4 linked regions of the Xenopus tropicalis genome follow. The protein of the gene in region 2 interacts with the protein of the main gene of each other region in a pairwise test. Links are inferred from orthologs where the notes say so. Each region holds a gene or a part of one and is shown on either strand. Other genes may lie near its edges. The genes, in order: pias2, nav2, ing5 and rbm15.

What was found.
Region 1: the proteins of nav2 (region 2) and pias2 interact in binary tests that used the Homo sapiens proteins (3 or more experiments, as listed by UniProt). The two-hybrid records come from large-scale screens. The link is inferred for Xenopus tropicalis from reciprocal best matches to the Homo sapiens genes NAV2 and PIAS2.
Region 3: the proteins of nav2 (region 2) and ing5 interact in binary tests that used the Homo sapiens proteins (3 or more experiments, as listed by UniProt). The two-hybrid records come from large-scale screens. The link is inferred for Xenopus tropicalis from reciprocal best matches to the Homo sapiens genes NAV2 and ING5.
Region 4: the proteins of nav2 (region 2) and rbm15 interact in binary tests that used the Homo sapiens proteins (3 or more experiments, as listed by UniProt). The two-hybrid records come from large-scale screens. The link is inferred for Xenopus tropicalis from reciprocal best matches to the Homo sapiens genes NAV2 and RBM15.

The regions. Positions count from the first base shown.
Region 1 is NC_030677.2:206,585,860-206,589,861, reverse strand, and holds the end of pias2 (E3 SUMO-protein ligase PIAS2), read right to left. Parts: intron 3,017-4,002; coding exon 2,877-3,016; intron 2,759-2,876; coding exon 2,721-2,758; intron 1,365-2,720; coding exon 1,182-1,364; 3' UTR 855-1,181; downstream 1-854. UniProt on the Homo sapiens protein: Functions as an E3-type small ubiquitin-like modifier (SUMO) ligase, stabilizing the interaction between UBE2I and the substrate, and as a SUMO-tethering factor.
Region 2 is NC_030680.2:4,470,499-4,474,601, forward strand, and holds part of nav2 (neuron navigator 2), read left to right. Parts: intron 1-543; coding exon 544-639; intron 640-723; coding exon 724-892; intron 893-1,822; coding exon 1,823-2,058; intron 2,059-2,541; coding exon 2,542-2,696; intron 2,697-2,813; coding exon 2,814-2,885; intron 2,886-3,023; coding exon 3,024-3,220; intron 3,221-3,375; coding exon 3,376-3,494; intron 3,495-4,103. UniProt on the Homo sapiens protein: Possesses 3' to 5' helicase activity and exonuclease activity. Involved in neuronal development, specifically in the development of different sensory organs.
Region 3 is NC_030681.2:125,710,031-125,714,133, forward strand, and holds part of ing5 (inhibitor of growth protein 5), read right to left. Parts: intron 3,380-4,103; coding exon 3,213-3,379; intron 3,102-3,212; coding exon 2,990-3,101; intron 2,109-2,989; coding exon 2,021-2,108; intron 1,222-2,020; coding exon 1,086-1,221; intron 429-1,085; coding exon 367-428; intron 1-366. UniProt on the Homo sapiens protein: Component of the HBO1 complex, which specifically mediates acetylation of histone H3 at 'Lys-14' (H3K14ac) and, to a lower extent, acetylation of histone H4. Component of the MOZ/MORF complex which has a histone H3 acetyltransferase activity.
Region 4 is NC_030678.2:72,274,882-72,279,613, reverse strand, and holds the start of rbm15 (RNA-binding protein 15), read right to left. Parts: upstream 3,028-4,732; 5' UTR 2,936-3,027; coding exon 425-2,935; 3' UTR 391-424; intron 1-390. UniProt on the Homo sapiens protein: RNA-binding protein that acts as a key regulator of N6-methyladenosine (m6A) methylation of RNAs, thereby regulating different processes, such as hematopoietic cell homeostasis, alternative splicing of mRNAs and X chromosome inactivation mediated by Xist RNA.

The sequences.
Region 1 (4,002 bases), on a different chromosome or scaffold from region 2:
GGTCCCATACCTGTATTATGTTAGCGGCAGTATGTCACTTTCTCTGTTGCCAGGCAGGGGTGTATTTACCATATAGAAACTCATTGGCCCGTGCCTACCTAGTGTTACTTTTTATTACTTATCTTTCTAATCCAGCCCTCTCCTAATCATATTTCGGTCTCTCAATCAACCCACTGCCTGGTTACTAAAGCAAACAAGGCCCTAGCAACCAGATAGCTATTGTAATTGTAACATCTTCCACTTCCTCTGTTGCTAGGCAGGGGCATATTTACCATATAGGGCCCGTGCCTATGGTGGCAGCTATAGGGTTGTGACCCTCGGGTACCTATAGGGTAAGTAAAACGTTTTCTAAAAAAAGAAAAAAAAAAATCTCTTCTACTGCTGCCAAATTATTTCCTATGAAATCCGGCTGTAGAGGGGAGGGGTAAAGGTGATGCTTGTCATTGTTACTGTGCTGATGGGCGTGTAGTGGACCAGTTCCTGGCAGGGATAGGGTTAATATACAGCAGGGATCCCCAACCTTTCTTACTCGTGAGCCACAGTCAAATGTAAAAAGACTTGGGGAGCAACACAAGCACCATAAAAGTTAATGGAGGAGCCAAATAAGGGCTGTGATTGGCTATTAGGGGCCTCTATGCACACTATCAGCTTACAGGGGGCTTTATTTGGTAGGAAATCTTGTTTTTATCCAACCAAAACTTGCCACCAAGTCAGGAATTCAAAAATAACTCCCTGGTTTGGGGGCACTGAGAGCAACATCCAAGGGGTTGGGGAGCAACATGTTACCCCTGAGCCACTGGTTGGGGATCACTGATATACAGGAAGAAAAAAAAAAAACACCCCTTACAAGAAGCTGGGAGCAGGGCATATCTTCTCTTTACATCTCGGGATACCAGAGAAGCCCAGTGTTCAGACCTGGTCTTTATTTATAAAAATACATATATACATTTTTCCTTCTGGGTAGAAGAGCAAAGTATTTACAGACCTGTGCATATGCATCCTGCAAAACATCAAACAAAACTGCAGATCCGGAGGGACCCGGTACTAGTGCCATTTATATTTGCGTGCTTGGTTCAGCAGTTCACCAATAAAAAAAAAAAAAAAAAAAAAAGGTCCTTTTCTCCACCAAGTCTCTCCCAGCACACTGGGGGTCAATGAATAAATAAGGGGGGGCGTTGCTGTCACGAATCTGGAGGCATGTGAATGTGCTGGAACTCTCTAGAAGCGTTCGGACTCGGTGGCAAGTCGTTCTCCTCGCTCGAGTGGCTTTCATGGCGGCTGCTCCAGGTTCGAGGCTTGCCAGTTACGTGGCTTGTTGGCATTGCCGAGGTGAGACTATCCAAAAACATAGGGGGATAGTACTGCTTGAAATAAACAGTCGGCGTGAGAACAGCAACGAAACGCAGCAGTCATGGCCTGAACAATGGCGGTTATAAAGGAGAACTAAAGCCTTTATGGGCTGTATTTTATATCCTACATTTACTGTGCCAGCCCATAGGGTCCACGGACCTGTAATGATCTAGGCCTTTAAAGGGGTGGTTCACCTTTACGTTAACTTTTAATTTGTATATATATTTTTTATAGAATGGGCAATTCTCAGCAACTTTTCAATTGGTCTTCATTTTTTATTTTGTATAGTTGAATGATTTGCCTTTCTCTTCAGCTTTCAAATGGGGGTCACTGACCCAAGAAGCCAAAAACTATTTTTCTAGGAAAGTTGGTTACTTTTTATTACTTACCTTTCTATTCCAGCCCTCTCCTATTCATATTTCAGCTCTCATTCAACCCACTGCCTGGGTGCTAAGGAAAATAAGACCCTAGCAACCAAATATCTGCTGGATCATCACAAATCATTAAAGGCGTGGTTCACCTTATAGAATTGTCTATTCTTAGCAATGTTTCAGTTGGTCTTAATTTTTTTTTTTTTATAGTTTTAGAATTCGTTCCTGATTCTTTCCAACTTTCAAATAGAGTTTACTGACCTCCAGTAGCCAAAAACTATTGCTGTTTTATTGATATTACTTATCTTTCTATTTAGGCCTCTCCTATTCATATTCCTATCTCTGTTGTAAACCACTGCCTGGTTGCTAAGTTAAAATGGACCCTAGCAACCAACAAAAGTTGATGCTACAGATGATCACTGCACTGGTTTCTGAGCTGCCATGTTTATTAGGCTTGTATAGTGACAGTTATATTATATAAACACAGTATATTGTCAGTCAGTCCCTAAGTTCAGTAATGGCAGTGAATCAGCAGAAAAGAAGATGGGGGGCTACTGGGGGCGTTGTTAGAGGCACAGATCTTCCCTGCTAAAGGGCTGTGAGTGCTTTGGGCTGGTACAGAAGCCCAAAACATAATGTGCAACATTTGTAGCCTACTACTTTAATCTTTAGTTCTTCTTTAAGGGTAAGTCCAGTTCTCAAGGGCAGATTCCTGCAGTAGGGGCACAGACTTTTGCCCTGTCTTGTCCTGTGACCCCCTCAACCACAGCCCAATTCCATGCAATTGTCCCGCTTCATTGCTTATACACAGCCCATCCGTCAACTGTGGCTGAAAGACTGCTCTTGTATAGGGGCAGTGATTTGTGGGGGCCTCATATTTCCCCCCCCTATTTCCCAATTACACTTGCGCATGAAAGACCCCACTTTAAATAAATGATTATAGAACTTACAGTTGCAAAGAACTAAGAGAAAGGGGGGTTCTTAGCAAACAGAACTTACCTGAGGATCCATTGAAACAAGAGAGAGGAAATCCAGACCTATAAAGAGCAGCAACACAGCAATGTAAGGAGAAGCCATTGATGCCAGGGTGCTGCTGTACAACATGCACGCACACCAGCTTGGCTTCTATATCCAGATAACGGCAGAGAGCTGTACCTGGTAACTCTGCGGATATTCCAGCGATGGCCGGGTGATGGAAATGGTCCGCGTACCCTGCCATGGAGGGATGCATGGGCTCCGACTCAATGCCAGCGACTTTTCCGACTCTTATTGATGACGGCTGATATGACAAGACCCTTTTGCAAGACAAATAATAAACATAATTACCAGCACAGGAGGATAACAAAACAGGACACAGCAGTTTGCAGGGTGGTGGTTTTTTATATTCTGTTGGCTTATAGGAATAATGAAGATGGTAACATTTCATCACAGAAACAACTTTTTGGGCATTTAGCCCAGGTCTAAGTCTTATTTGTCCTGAGGTGTAAAGGAACAGTTCAGTGTTAAAATGAAAATGGGCAAAATGAATAGACTGCGTAAAATAAAAAATATTTCTAATATAGTTAGGCAAAAATGTCATCTATAAAGGCTTGGAGTGAGTATATGTCTAACATAATAGCCAGAACTCTACTTCCTGCAGGGGTGGCCAGACCTGGGGGATGCGGATGCGCTGCGTGAATGCGTACGTACACTGCGTTGCATACATAAGCATTCACGCAGCACTTCCGCATCCCCGGCTTCATCGCGCTCCACCAGAAATCCACGGGGGATCGACTGGTGGACCGCAATGTATTGACCACCCCTGCTCTACTGTAATACCCAATCACCCTTAACTAGAAACTGCTGCCTGCAAGAATATTCACTGCCAGCAGAGGGAGCCTCTCTCCCCACCTAAATGACCCGCACAGAGCAGAATTTATTTTGCAGAAGGCTCATTTTGCTGGAGGTAATTTTGAATTTTCACTCTCCAGCCAATCAGAGGCTTGTTTCTTTTTTTAATTAGGGTTTACTCTACCCAAGCTGCCAGTGCTTCCAGGACCTACACAAATCTACCATTGTTTGACCAGCAACTCTATAAATTCACTCATATGTGTTAATGTGTGGGAGAGCTGGCACCCAGGAGGCTAGATTTGTTAGGAAGAAGCTAGCATCTGTAGGGGCCTAGGTTCCATATATGTTGGATACAAGGGGTGGGAGTGGTAATATATTCTGCTTTACTGCCCAGGGTCCCATTGGGAGAATTGGAGAAGTGATAGATACAATCATCCCTTTTGGCTTCCAC
Region 2 (4,103 bases):
TCTATCTCTATCTATAATCTATCTGTCATCTATCTATCTCTATCTATCTATCTATCTATCTCTATCTATCTTCTATCTATCATCTATCTATCTATCATCTATCTATCTATCTCTATCTATCTGTCATCTATCTATCTCTATCTATCGTCTATCTATCTCTATCTATCAATCTATCTATCATCTATCTGTCATCTATCTATCTATCATCTATCTATCTATCTCTATCTATCTATCTGTCATCTATCTATCTCTATCTATCTATCATCTATCTAACTATGAATCTTAGTACTCCCATAGGCGATTGGGTTTAAATAGAACAAACTCTCAGAGTATTACGAGAACACGGGTTACAGACTGGGGAAGAGGTTAAATACTGCCCCCAAGTGGCTTTCTTTGGAATTGCCTCTGAAACAATAAAAATAAAAGAGGGGCAGTTCACCCTTAACTGACTGTTAATATGATGTAGATATTCTGAGACAGTTGCAGTTGGTGCGTGTGTGGGAGCTGCTATGTAACATGTCACATTCTGTACTGGATCCTTAGGACGCCAGACCTCGGCTTTTCCTGATTGGCTGCATCGGTGTGGGCGGTAAAACTAAATGGGACGTCCTGGATGGGGTAGTAAAGAGACTGTTCAAGGTAAGAGCTGAGAGATATCATTCAGCAACACCAGGAAAGCACAGACTGCCGCTCCCCCCACACACTCATTGCTTCTCCCCATAGGAGTACATCATCCACGTCGACCCAGTCACCCAGCTGGGCCTCAACTCCGACAGTGTCCTCGGCTACAGCATCGGTGACATCAAGCGCGTCGGGAACGCCGAGACCCCCGAACTGCTGCCTTGTGGGTATCTGGTCGGGGAGAACAACACCATTTGTGTCACTGTGAGAGGTAAGTGTACCCCCAATCTGTGGGGGTTATAGAGAGCAAGGTCTGTCTTTCTATCATCTGTCTGTCTATCTCTCTATCTATTTATCTATTTATTTATCTATCTATCATCTATCTATCATCTAACTATAAATCTGTCTATCTCTGTCTATTTTTCTATCATCTAACTGAATCTGTCTGTCTATCTATCTATCTGTCTATCATCTATCTATCTATCTATCTCTCTATCTATTTATCTATTTATTTATCTATCTATCATCTAACTATAAATCTGTCTATCTCTGTCTATTTTTCTATCATCTAACTGAATCTGTCTGTCTATCTATCTATCTATCTGTCTATCATCTAACTATGAATCTGTATATCTTAATCTATCTTTCATCTATCTATCTGAATCTATCTATCATCTAACTATGAATCTGTATCTATCTATCTATCTATCTATCTATCTATCTATCTATCTATCTATCTATCATCTATCATCTATCTATTTAACTATCTCTTTCTTCTATCTATCTGTCTATCTATCTATCAATCATCATCTATCATCTATCTATCTATCTATCTATCATCTATCTATGAATCTGTCTGGCATCTATCTATCTTTCAATCATCTATCTATCTATCTATATTTATCTCTATCTTTTATCTATCATCTATCTCTTTCTATCATCTATCTATCTATCTATATTTATCTCTATCTTTTATCTATCATCTATCTCTTTCTATCATCTATCTATCTATCTATATTTATCTCTATCTTTTATCTATCATCTATCTATCATCTATCTATCTATCTATCTATATTTATCTCTATCTTTTATCTATCATCTATCTATCTATCTATATTTATCTCTATCTATCATCTATCTATCTATCTATCTATCTATCTAACTATGAATCTATGTATAATGCTGCCCTGTTCTCCCCCAGGCCTGGCTCAGAGCAGTCTGGATTGCCTGGTGTTTGAGACGCTGACCCCCAAGCCCATATTACAGCGCTACATCTCACTGTTAATGGAGCACAGGAGAATTATCCTGTCTGGACCCAGCGGCACCGGCAAGACCTACCTGGCCAATCGGCTTGCGGAGTACCTGGTTCAGTGGGAGGGGCGGGAGCTGGCCGAGGGGGTCATTGCTACCTTCAATGTAGATCATAAATCCAGCAAGGTAAGAAGCCGCGGCCTCTGAATCTCACGTTTCCCTATTGGTGTATATAACTACGCTGCTCACATCTGATTGGTTAATAGCAGAGAAGGCCTCGTATTCCTATTTAAAGTGTTTCCGGGACTTGTTTTATATTAAATGTGACCCCTGCTGCCCCCCTTAGCTGTTCTGGGCTCTGAATCTCTTGGTACCGCAGAGCCTTGTACTGCCCCCCAGCCAGGCGTAAGAGCTGTACACCAAAACACAGCCCCAGCCAGGCATAAGAGCTGTACCCCAAAACACAGCCCCAGCCAGGCATAAGAGCTGTACCCCAAAACACAGCCCCAGCCAGGCATAAGAGCTGTTCCCCAAAACACAGCCCCACCCAGGCGTAAGAGCTGTACCCCAAAACACAGCCTTGGGGTCTGCAGGCAGATGGATATCCTGCCCCCCCAGTCTCAGTGGGAACAGTTATAATGATCCGGATTGTGATGTTCTGTTTCCCAGGAGCTGCGCCAGTACCTGTCCAACCTGGCCGACCAGTGCAGCAACGAGAACAGCTCGGCCGACACCCCCCTGGTCATTATACTGGACAACCTGCACCATGTCGGCTCCCTGGGAGAGATCTTCAACGGCCTCCTGAACTGCAAATATCAGAAATGGTAAGTGACCCGGGTCCTGCCCTCAGGGGGGCAAGTGGAGAAAGTGGCCTCGGGCGGCCAACGTTACCCGGGGAGGCAGAACTAATGGTCATTTTCATTGTCCTTTATTTATTGCAGCCCGTATATCATCGGCACCATGAACCAAGCCACGTCCTCCACTCCTAACCTGCAGCTGCACCATAACTTCAGGTATTTATTATTCTGCCGTCATGTGATCAGAAACCGCTCTTGGCTGGAGCATTGCTTTGGGGCCCCGCCCCCCATGTTCCAGCCAAGAAGGGTTAATGAAGCCTGGGCGGCCGCTCACCTCTCCTACGTCTCACACAGGTGGGTGCTGTGCGCCAATCACACGGAGCCGGTGAAGGGCTTCCTCGGCCGCTACCTCAGGAGGAAACTCATAGAAACGGAGATCAACTCCCGGACGAGAAACCCAGAACTGGTGAAAATCATCGACTGGATCCCCAAGGTCTGGCAGCACCTCAATAAATTCCTGGAGACGCACAGCTCGTCCGACGTGACCATCGGTGAGAATGGCCCCGCCCTCTTGGAATGCACCCTGCAGTTTGCCCTGAGGGGGATTGAAAAAGGGGGGTTGGGGCAATAATAGATTGCCAAGAGCCCCTAAACTTGACTGGGGGTCCCATTGTGTCCTGACTTTCTGCTTCTGGTTCCACTACAGGCCCACGGTTGTTCCTCTCCTGCCCAATAGATGTGGATGGTTCCAGGGTCTGGTTTACTGATCTGTGGAATTATTCCATTATTCCCTACCTCCTAGAGGCCGTCAGAGAGGGACTGCAGGTGAGAGCCAGATCAATGTTGCACCCAATTAATGTTTCCTTTTCCTCTTCCTGATGTTTCCTGTTTAATCTTTACATTTCCCCTTCCTGATATTTCCTGTTTAATCTTTACATTTCCCCTTCCTGATGTTTCCTGTTAACCATTTCCTTTTCCCCTTCCTAATGTGTCCTGTTCAATGTTTACATTTCCCCTTCCTGATATTTCCTGTTTAATCTTTACATTTCCCCTTCCTGATGTTTCCTGTTAACCATTTCCTTTTCCCCTTCCTAATGTGTCCTGTTCAATGTTTACATTTCCCCTTCCTGATATTTCCTGTTAACCATTTCCTTTTCCCCATCCTAATGTTTCCTGTTTAATGTTTACATTTCCTCTTCCTGATATTTCCTGTTCAAAGTTTACATTTCCTCTTATTGATATTTCCTGTTTAACATTTCCTTTTCCCCTTCCTGATATTTCCTGTGTAACATTTCCTTTTCCCCTTCCTGATATTTCCTCTTCAATGTTTACATTTCCCCTTCCTGATATTTCCTGTTCAAAGTTTACATTTCCCCTTCCTGATATTTCCTGTTCAAAGTTTACATTTCCCCTTCCTGATATTTCCTGTTCAAA
Region 3 (4,103 bases), on a different chromosome or scaffold from region 2:
ACTGGGGAGCAATTCCTATGTTTTTTTTTATTTTTTTTAAATAAAATTTGTCCTTGCATCAAGAAAATTAAAATGAAATGAAAGGAATGAACTAAATTCAGGATTCAGTTAAGGATTCAGAGCTTCAGCAGAACAAAACTGAAACCCTTATCATCATTCTAATATGACATTAAAACTCTTGGTAATTGATGGCTACAAACTTTGTTCACAGGTGTCATTTTCTATTTTTCTCCATTAAAATATGCAAATTATAGTTCAGATTCCTCCACTTTTGCAGAGGATTTAGCATTCATCAGAATCCAAAAATTCTGGATTCAGTGCATTCCTATTTTTAACAAAAATTCAGTTGATACAATAGATACTTACCATTTCCCTTTAGGTTTAGTGGTCAGATCCACACAGGCAAAATGGAACCATTCAATTGGACACTGTGGGCAAATAATTTAGGAAGTAATTACACATTTAGGTGCCTTGGAAAAAAACATACACCCTATTTCCTAGATAATAGAACTGTACTTCTAACCGCCTTGCTTTTACATGCAATATAAGCTTTGGCTATAACACATTCACTTTACATAATCATTAGACTGTCTTAAGAAACCGCAAAAATAAAGGAGAAAAGAATACAATGTGCAATAAAATCAGTAAGCTGTAGCAACTCTCATGCCCTTAGGTCTTTATTAAACAAAGCAGAAACCTATTCTGAAAGGTTTACTTTTTCCATTCCAACCAGTTGAAACATTAATTTACCTTAGTTTCTAGTAGTTATGCTGGTATAGTTTTAAACCTGAGGCTAAAACATTGATGTAACCTGTATTTCCACTTGCACTTTTCTTGAATAAGTGTAGAAATTTATTTCTGAGAATGTTATCCTATTGCAAAAGTGAAGACACTACAGAATAAATCCTCAGATTGTAGCAAGGCAGATCAGCTGAAACTGCTGAACAATCTATTGCTAATTTTTAAGAATATAGACAAAATATTGCATTTTGGATTTGAATTATTCTCTAAATCCAATCATACAGTACACACTTCCAGGCAAGGACACTGATGTATCCATACAATATTCTGAACTTATTACTTACATCTGGATTGTCACAACCAATCATTTCCCCATAGGACACCTGGTGGCAAAGGCAGTATGTGGGTTCATTGGGATCCACTGGCATATCCAAGACATCCGAAGGGGTCACAGACAGGACTGAATCAGCATATACAGGCCTGGCAAATACAAATATATCAGCAAGCCAGCGAGTTAGGTCATGTAAATTACCCATTAAACAGCTTCAGATTAAAAAAACTATAAATGTATTCTGAGACAATTTATTCTTCATTTTTTGCATGGTTTCTGAATTATTTAGCTTTTTGTCAGCAGATATTTGGCTACCAAGGTCCAATCTATTTACAGTAACAACCAGGCAATGGCTGGAATGAGAGACTGAAACATGAAAAGGAGAAGGCCTAAATGTAACATTATAATTGCAGCCTCAAAGGGCAATAGTTGACTGCTGGGGTCAGTGACCCCCTTTTGAGAGCTGGACACACAAGGGGAAGGCAAACTTAAAAAATATATAAAAATGAGCAGCAATTGAACAATTGCTATGGATGGGAAATTCTAAAACATAAAAATGTTAAATGTACTTCACCTTTAAAGTGGTCAGCAGCCTAACTCACACACTTACACAGCTGTACCCTTGCATTTAAACACCCATTAAATCCACAGCTCTTGCAGTCACATTAAAAAATAAGGGAGCAGCAGTTGAAGATACCACTTTTTAGCCCTTATTCAGGACAGTTTGGTGGCCCTATTGATATTACACAATCTATTCCTTTTTGAAAAATGTAATATTTTGGACAATTAACGTGGAAGTTACTATGTAAATGTTTTGTTTAAAGCCACAGCTGCTTGATAAGGGTGCAAAAAAAAATTGTGTATGTGGCATTCAACCTGGAAACTATAAGAGGTCTCACATAGTCTACGCTGTTACTAGAACAGTAACAAACTGATACAATTCCTCACCCTCCTTTCATTTTCTTTTTCTTTACAGTGTCCTCTTCAGATACTCTGCGTCCTCTTGACCCTCGTTTTTCTTTTTGACCTCTATTCTCTTTAAAACAAAAAAGTTATGTTTTTTTAGGATGAATAATTTTGTTTCTCCAATTTTGATGTACTGCTATTTATCTTCCAGAGTACCGTATATAGTCGAATATAAGCCGAGTTTTTGAGCACTAAAAATGTGCTTAAAAAGTAACCCTCGGCTTATACTCAAGTATATACGGTAGTTGCCTATGGATTCGCAGATGCAATGCGCTCCTTGCGTGCAATCCCCCCCCCCCCCCGTGGACGGGCTTGCAGACGCACGCGCAAGGCATCATACGCACCATAGCGTTGCACCATTATGGGACGCGCCGCTGCACCATTAAGGGATCAGCACAGAACCGATGTGACGCGCGTAACATTTCAGGCAATCCTTAGCTTTTGACCTTCAGACAGTCCTTTCACATGTAGGTAAAGTTTGGCACACAAGTTAATTGCACACAGGGGCATGTGCTGCTGCGCTCACGCAGTGTTATTAACTCCGGCTCAGTAAGAACATAGAAGTGGCAGCTGCCAGCCAAACACGCAAGCAGGCAGAGCATCTGATACAGGGAGTGGAACGTATTGGGTGGTGGCGATGTACAATATAAATAACACATTTATAAGGTTTGGTTAGACATGCATTGTCGTTATGGGGCGCATTAAACAGAATACAATATACTTGGATCAATATACTTGGTTCATTGGATGTGCCTGTCACTGGTAAGAAATAAATATGCTAGGAAGCCACAGTATTCTCCCACTTGTGAGTATTTCTGTGGACCTCTATTCATAGTGCACCATGTAAAGGGAGAAGGAGGAATGAGCAAGAGTGGGTCTTCTTGCAGGGATTTTTAAATGTTGAAGGAAAAGATTAGCGAGATTTTTTATACACAACATTTTGTAACTCACTCTTTACTCCACGTCCTGCAGGACTATCAAACTCTGACCCTTCCAGTTTTTCTTTAAGATCAGCCTCAAAGCGGGCCAGATCAGCATCCAGCCTTCGTATATGTTTATCGACCTATTAGACAGACAAATATATTTCAAAATAATAATTTCTACACACAAAAATGACATTATTAAAGTCATGCATGGCATTTGTTATTTATGGATTCATTAAACTGCTGCTCACCATTTCGTAGGTCTGCATGGCCAGTTGCACTTTATCATCACTGTACTCTTTGCATTTGCTATAGGCAGACTGAATTTTTTGAAGGTGCTGTACTCTCTGCTCAGGGGTGTAGTCCCGCACCTTAGCAATATATTCGCTTGCTAAAGCATCAATCTCCTTCTTCTTATCTATTAAAAAAAGCAAAAGGTACAGCTATAGTTAATAGGCAACTTAAACCTCCCAATAACCTTTGGCCCATTACATGGTTTCAATACACAAAGATACTATAAGAGGAGTCTGGTGAAAGTAATGTTCTACCCCACCTGCATCATTTTTGGTGTGAATCCCAGTCTGGCCTACTACTGAATTGCCAGCAATGTACTTGTAAAGAATGGCAGAGCAGTATGAACAAGTGCTAGCAAATAAAGTGTTGTCAGTCAGAATATAAGGTGTTTATATCAAAACAATATGTAATGTCCCTTCTTGGGTCAAAATCTGTCTGAAAATGTAGTGGAACGGCAGTTGGCAAAACTCAAGAAGGACATCAGGCATCACTTTGGTGGAGTAACATGTAGCAGAGTGGTTTGGCTTATGACAGTGGTTTCCCAGTGGCGTAGGCACTTCATGTGCATGCTGACAGGCTGTTTCTGTGCCTGTTAGTGCGAACACAAGGCCAAGTGAAAGGGAGGAGACTTGCCCTTTCCTTGCTGGCATATCTACGCCAGCAGAGAAAGAGTAAGTGCCTTGACCTTAAAGGAGAAAGAAAGGTAAAAACTAAGTAAGCTTTATCAGAAAGGCCTATGTAAATACAACCATAAGCACTCACAAACACTGATAATGATGGTGTTAATATAAAGTGTAAAGATGCACAAAGACTGATCTAGTCAAGAAATTTTCTCAACAGAAACTATA
Region 4 (4,732 bases), on a different chromosome or scaffold from region 2:
ACGGGTCAAATTAATACATGGAAGTCTTTTTTAACTTTGTATTCCCAATTGTTGCTGGACAGCATCACATGAGAACATTTTTGGTGTTACAGTCCAGTGACAGTTTGGGAACCAAATTTAAGAAGTAATGTATTCAAAAATTAGCAGAAATCTCACACTTAAAAAAATTCAAGAAGTTGCCAAAATCAGAAGATTGTGATTACCTATGCTAAGAGAATATAATTTAAAGAAAATGGGAAATAGGCAGGAAACGTCAACACTTGAATATGGTCCGGTCCTGTTTAATTACATAAATGCTTTTGCTAAGCAGATCAAAAACTGCAATACAAAGACTGAACTTGCGATTACAAAAAAAAAAAAAACTAAAAGTTATACTGTATCCCATAATACCTTGTGAATAGTAGACAGAAATACAAACATGGACCTAGGATGCCCCACGAACTATAATCATTATAAGGTAGTCATCATCAGACTTCACAAGGGCTTTTGCTTCAGCATCAAGAAACTGCTGGGAAAAATTACAGGGAGGAAAAGCATGAAGAACTCCTGCATGATCTTTGTCTTTATTGCTCCCAACGGGCAGGCTGATAACACCTGCGGCTTGTTTTTGTTTTAAGTAGGACACCAGGTTTCTTAGGGGTCGTTGTGTTGAACTGGCTTGGTCCACTGATGAACCCTCGGAAGTACCAGGAATGGCAAGTAGGATGGCATAGCCATTAGGCCCTGCCACTCTGATGCGTCGAGTAACTTCATCCAACTTTGGCTGGTCAAGTCGTAGGCGCTGTGTAATTTTTAGCTGTGCCACCTTTCCTCCTGAAGGTCCCTCAACCAGCAAGCTGGATGCAACTCCAAGATCTCCTTGCAAAAGGTGCATATTGGATGGAAAATTGCTGTTCTTAAGCAGCAGCATACCTTGCCAAGCCAGACACAGCTTGTGTGCTGCTTCTGATTTTTGTGGAGGTTTCACTTTGCTGTTGCCCTCTGGATGCTCATCCTTTTTTAAAGGGCTTTTATTTGCAGGTACACGATGCCTTCTTTCTCTTTCAACTGAGTTTTTTCTATCATGTTTGTCTTCTTGACCCCGCTCCAGGCTTCCCTTCCAATCTCTAGAAGGTGAGGAGCGGCATGCTACTCGATCAGAGTCATTGTAACGGTTGTCTCGACCTCCACTGCCTTCAGGGCTACGTTCAGGAGTGACACAGTGTCTCTTTCTAGAGCGGTCACTCTCTGGTGATCTGTCTAGGTGACGGCTATCATCCAGTCTCCTTTTCCTGGGCTGATCTCTGTTCACTTCATCTCTTTCACGGTCTCTGTCTAAAGCCCAATTATCTGCACGTCGTTCTATTGTTTCAAGAGATTCACTAGTGACTCTGTGTCTGTCTCTGGCAGGAGGTGACACCCAATCATTGTTTGTATAAGCATCTCTTTCCCTGTCCCTGAATATTAAAGGTGGTGAACGATCTCTGGCTCTGCTGGCTTCACTAGTCCGATGTCCTGGTGTCTCCTCTCCAAAATCAATATAAGGGATGGGTAATGGCTGAACATAAGGATGTGGAAAACGAACATCTGCTTCTGCAAAATCCACACGAAGTCTTCTATGGTCACCCCCCATAGGGAAGCCTCTCATCTGGGTACAGGCAGCTTGGGCAGCATCCAGACTTTCATATTGTATATACGCCCAGTTTTCCCCCTTGCGGTAATCAATTTGACGGATGGTGCCAAATCTATCAAATTCCCGGGCCAATGCAGTTACTGGTACCCAAGGTCCCAGACCCCCCACCCAAAGGCGGTTTGTTGGTACTACTTTCCCATAGCCGATCTTTAAAGCATGACTACGAAGCATCTTGCCGGACATTGCAACCTTTGCCCTGTGAGCCATGTCAAGGTTTTCAAACTTTATGAAACCATAGGTCGTTTGCTGCCCACGACCAGCTCGTTTTATATCTACTTCTGTAATAGTTCCAAAACGTCCAAAGACCCTATAAATTTCACTCTCCTTGACAACGACATCCAGATTTCCAACAAAGAGTGTACGATTAGCTCTGGCATCAATCTCTAAAGCAAGGTCTTCGTCTCTAAAGTTCAGTCGGGGATCTACTGTGTAGGTAGACCTTAGCCGGCTATCATAAAGGCTGTATTCCCGTTCCCTGTCCAGCTCCCTGGGTAGAGCTGCCGGAGCCGGTGGGAGGCGCCCCAGAGCCAGCTGCTGCAGCCTATAGTCTCTGTAGCCCAGGCCGCCGGGGGAGAGTGCGCGCTGGCCGTGAGGGTGCCTGTGTGTGGCTAGTGTGGAAACAGCGGCGGCGAGTCCGCCATACGAGTCTTTCTCCCCAGGGCTGCGGCTGCGCCTCCGGTTAGTACCGCCGACATTCAAATAAACAGCCTCAATCTTGAGGGGTCTGTCGTAAAGGACAAGCCTCCCGCGGGCGTGCTTAGCGGCTCGGGCATCCAGGGCGCGCCTGAAATTCACTAAGGCCACACGCTCGTCCCCCTCGCGAGAGATTTTCACACTTACGTCTCCGAATTTTTTGAATTCATGGAAAAGTCCATCCTCTATTGCCTCGTCACTTAGCGAGGAGCCCAGCTCGCTTATCCGCAAGGATTTGTAGTATTCTGGCTCTGCACGGCTCTCTGTAGCCCGGCCGCCGCCGCCTCGGCTCTCAGCGCCACCTTTACTGCTGCTACTGCCACTGCTTGCCCCGGGGGAGCCGTAGCGATGCAAGCCCTGGGCTCTGCTCGATTGATCATAGTCGCGGCTCGAGGAAATAGCCTTTTCCACATGCAGGCTCCGGCGGCCTGTGCTGCTTTCAGATGTCTTTCCCGATGATCCGTTACTGCCTCCACCGGAGCTCAGTTTTTTTCCGCTTCTCTCGCGAGTTGATTCCTCCGCCCCCCGGGACCGTTTGGCCTTGGCCGGGGAGCGCTCTTTTCCCTTCATGGCGAGTTACGGGATGATAGTGTCTTCACACACAACTACACTCCGCCATTTTGCAGCGGTTTCGCCTAATTGACCGCCCTGAATAGCGATTGGGTACTTTCTGGCTTTCTTAAAATTCTATTGGATAGCTCTGCAGTCATTCTTACAAGATCGCATAGGATGGGGTGGTCTTTGGGCACGTCACTTCCGCTATTTCTCTGCGTTTCCCACGGGGCGTTATGGGTTGGCTAATGGCTACGTTGCAGGTTTATTAAAGCTTCGATCCATCCTTTCACGCGTGAAATCTTTTGTGCTACAATGGTTTCTAAGGTTTCATTTGTTTCATATCAATTTTACTTTTGTAAAATTTCAGTGAAATGTAAAGAGGAACGTTGGAAAGAGACAACATTGGCATATCAGATGCAAAGCGTTTTAAACAACCCAGTAGAATCGATTCTATATACTTTTGCAGGTTACTAGGCTGCTGGATAGGAGGTGCATAATTGTTCAAGTGATTTTAAGCCGAGAACGTCGTTTCAGTTAAAAGTAGATTTTTTTTTTACACATTATTAGTGGTGTAATTAGTTGTTACTGGTCCCCACAACAAATTCATTTTAGAACTATTAAACATATGCTAAATTGGGTAATTAAAATTGTTTTTTTGTAAGGACCATTCTAGGCCCTTTGAATCTCTAGTCTGTTTCCCTTTGTAGTACCACCCCTACAGATTATTAATACACTATTTCATGTTTGTGTTTCACTCAAACATATCTTACTGGTATTTCCTTTGCTGTTATTGTCAAACAATCCTAATGCAGTATTGTTACTATACAGGGATATATAGATTGTAGACCTTTGGTAACCTCTTTAACATTTTAACACAATGTTCTATAAGGTACATTTATTAATACCGTGTTATGTGCAAAGTGCAATTTTCAAAACAAATTTTCCAGCGTACTTTATTCTAGAATTCAAGCCTTGCAGATACTTTTATGTGATTGTACACAAAATGTTTTGGGCATTGATCCCTTTATTAAATGTGAACAGTGGCAATGTGTTCAGAATGTAGGAGAATATAGCTCCAGATCCCAATAACCTATTTAAACCATGAACCTCGTAAAAAGGTTATTTCCCAGATTTTTTTTAATTTATGCCCACCAATAAGTGACTCATTAGGTGAGGCACTGAACACAATATTACAAAGCGAGGCAAAATAGATAACAAAAACTATCAAGTACAGGTATCGGACCCCTTATTCAGAAACCCATTATCCAGAAAGTTCAGAATTAAGGGAATGCCAAAAATGGCTTCCTTTTTCTCTGCGGAAAGACTGCTTATCTGGAAAACCCCAGGTCCCAAGCCTTCTGGATAACGGGTCCCATACTTGTATGTGAAATATGGAACTTTAGAATATTATGATGACATATCCTTCTTTTCTTTTTAGATGAGTGATGAATATGGAGCTTCTACTGGATGTGTTCAAGCATTTTTTTGTTTTCAGGTATTGATATAAATTAAGTGATGTAGGAGCTAATTGAATGGGTTAAATGTTTAATAAACATGTTTGGGTCCCCTGCATAGACCTGTTGAGGGCAGTATCCTGTTTAAAATATTCTTTTAACAGATAATTGTTTTAATGGATTTTTCTAATATTTTATGAACTTTATTATTTATTATGGCCTTTATTGTTGGTCCTACAGCTATGTAAGGTGACACAGAATTTAATGGAGCCCTTATTTAATATGCAAATGTGGGCAATGGATGCATCACATAATGCAAGAATTGTTGAAAAATACATTTTGACATGGATTGCACTTT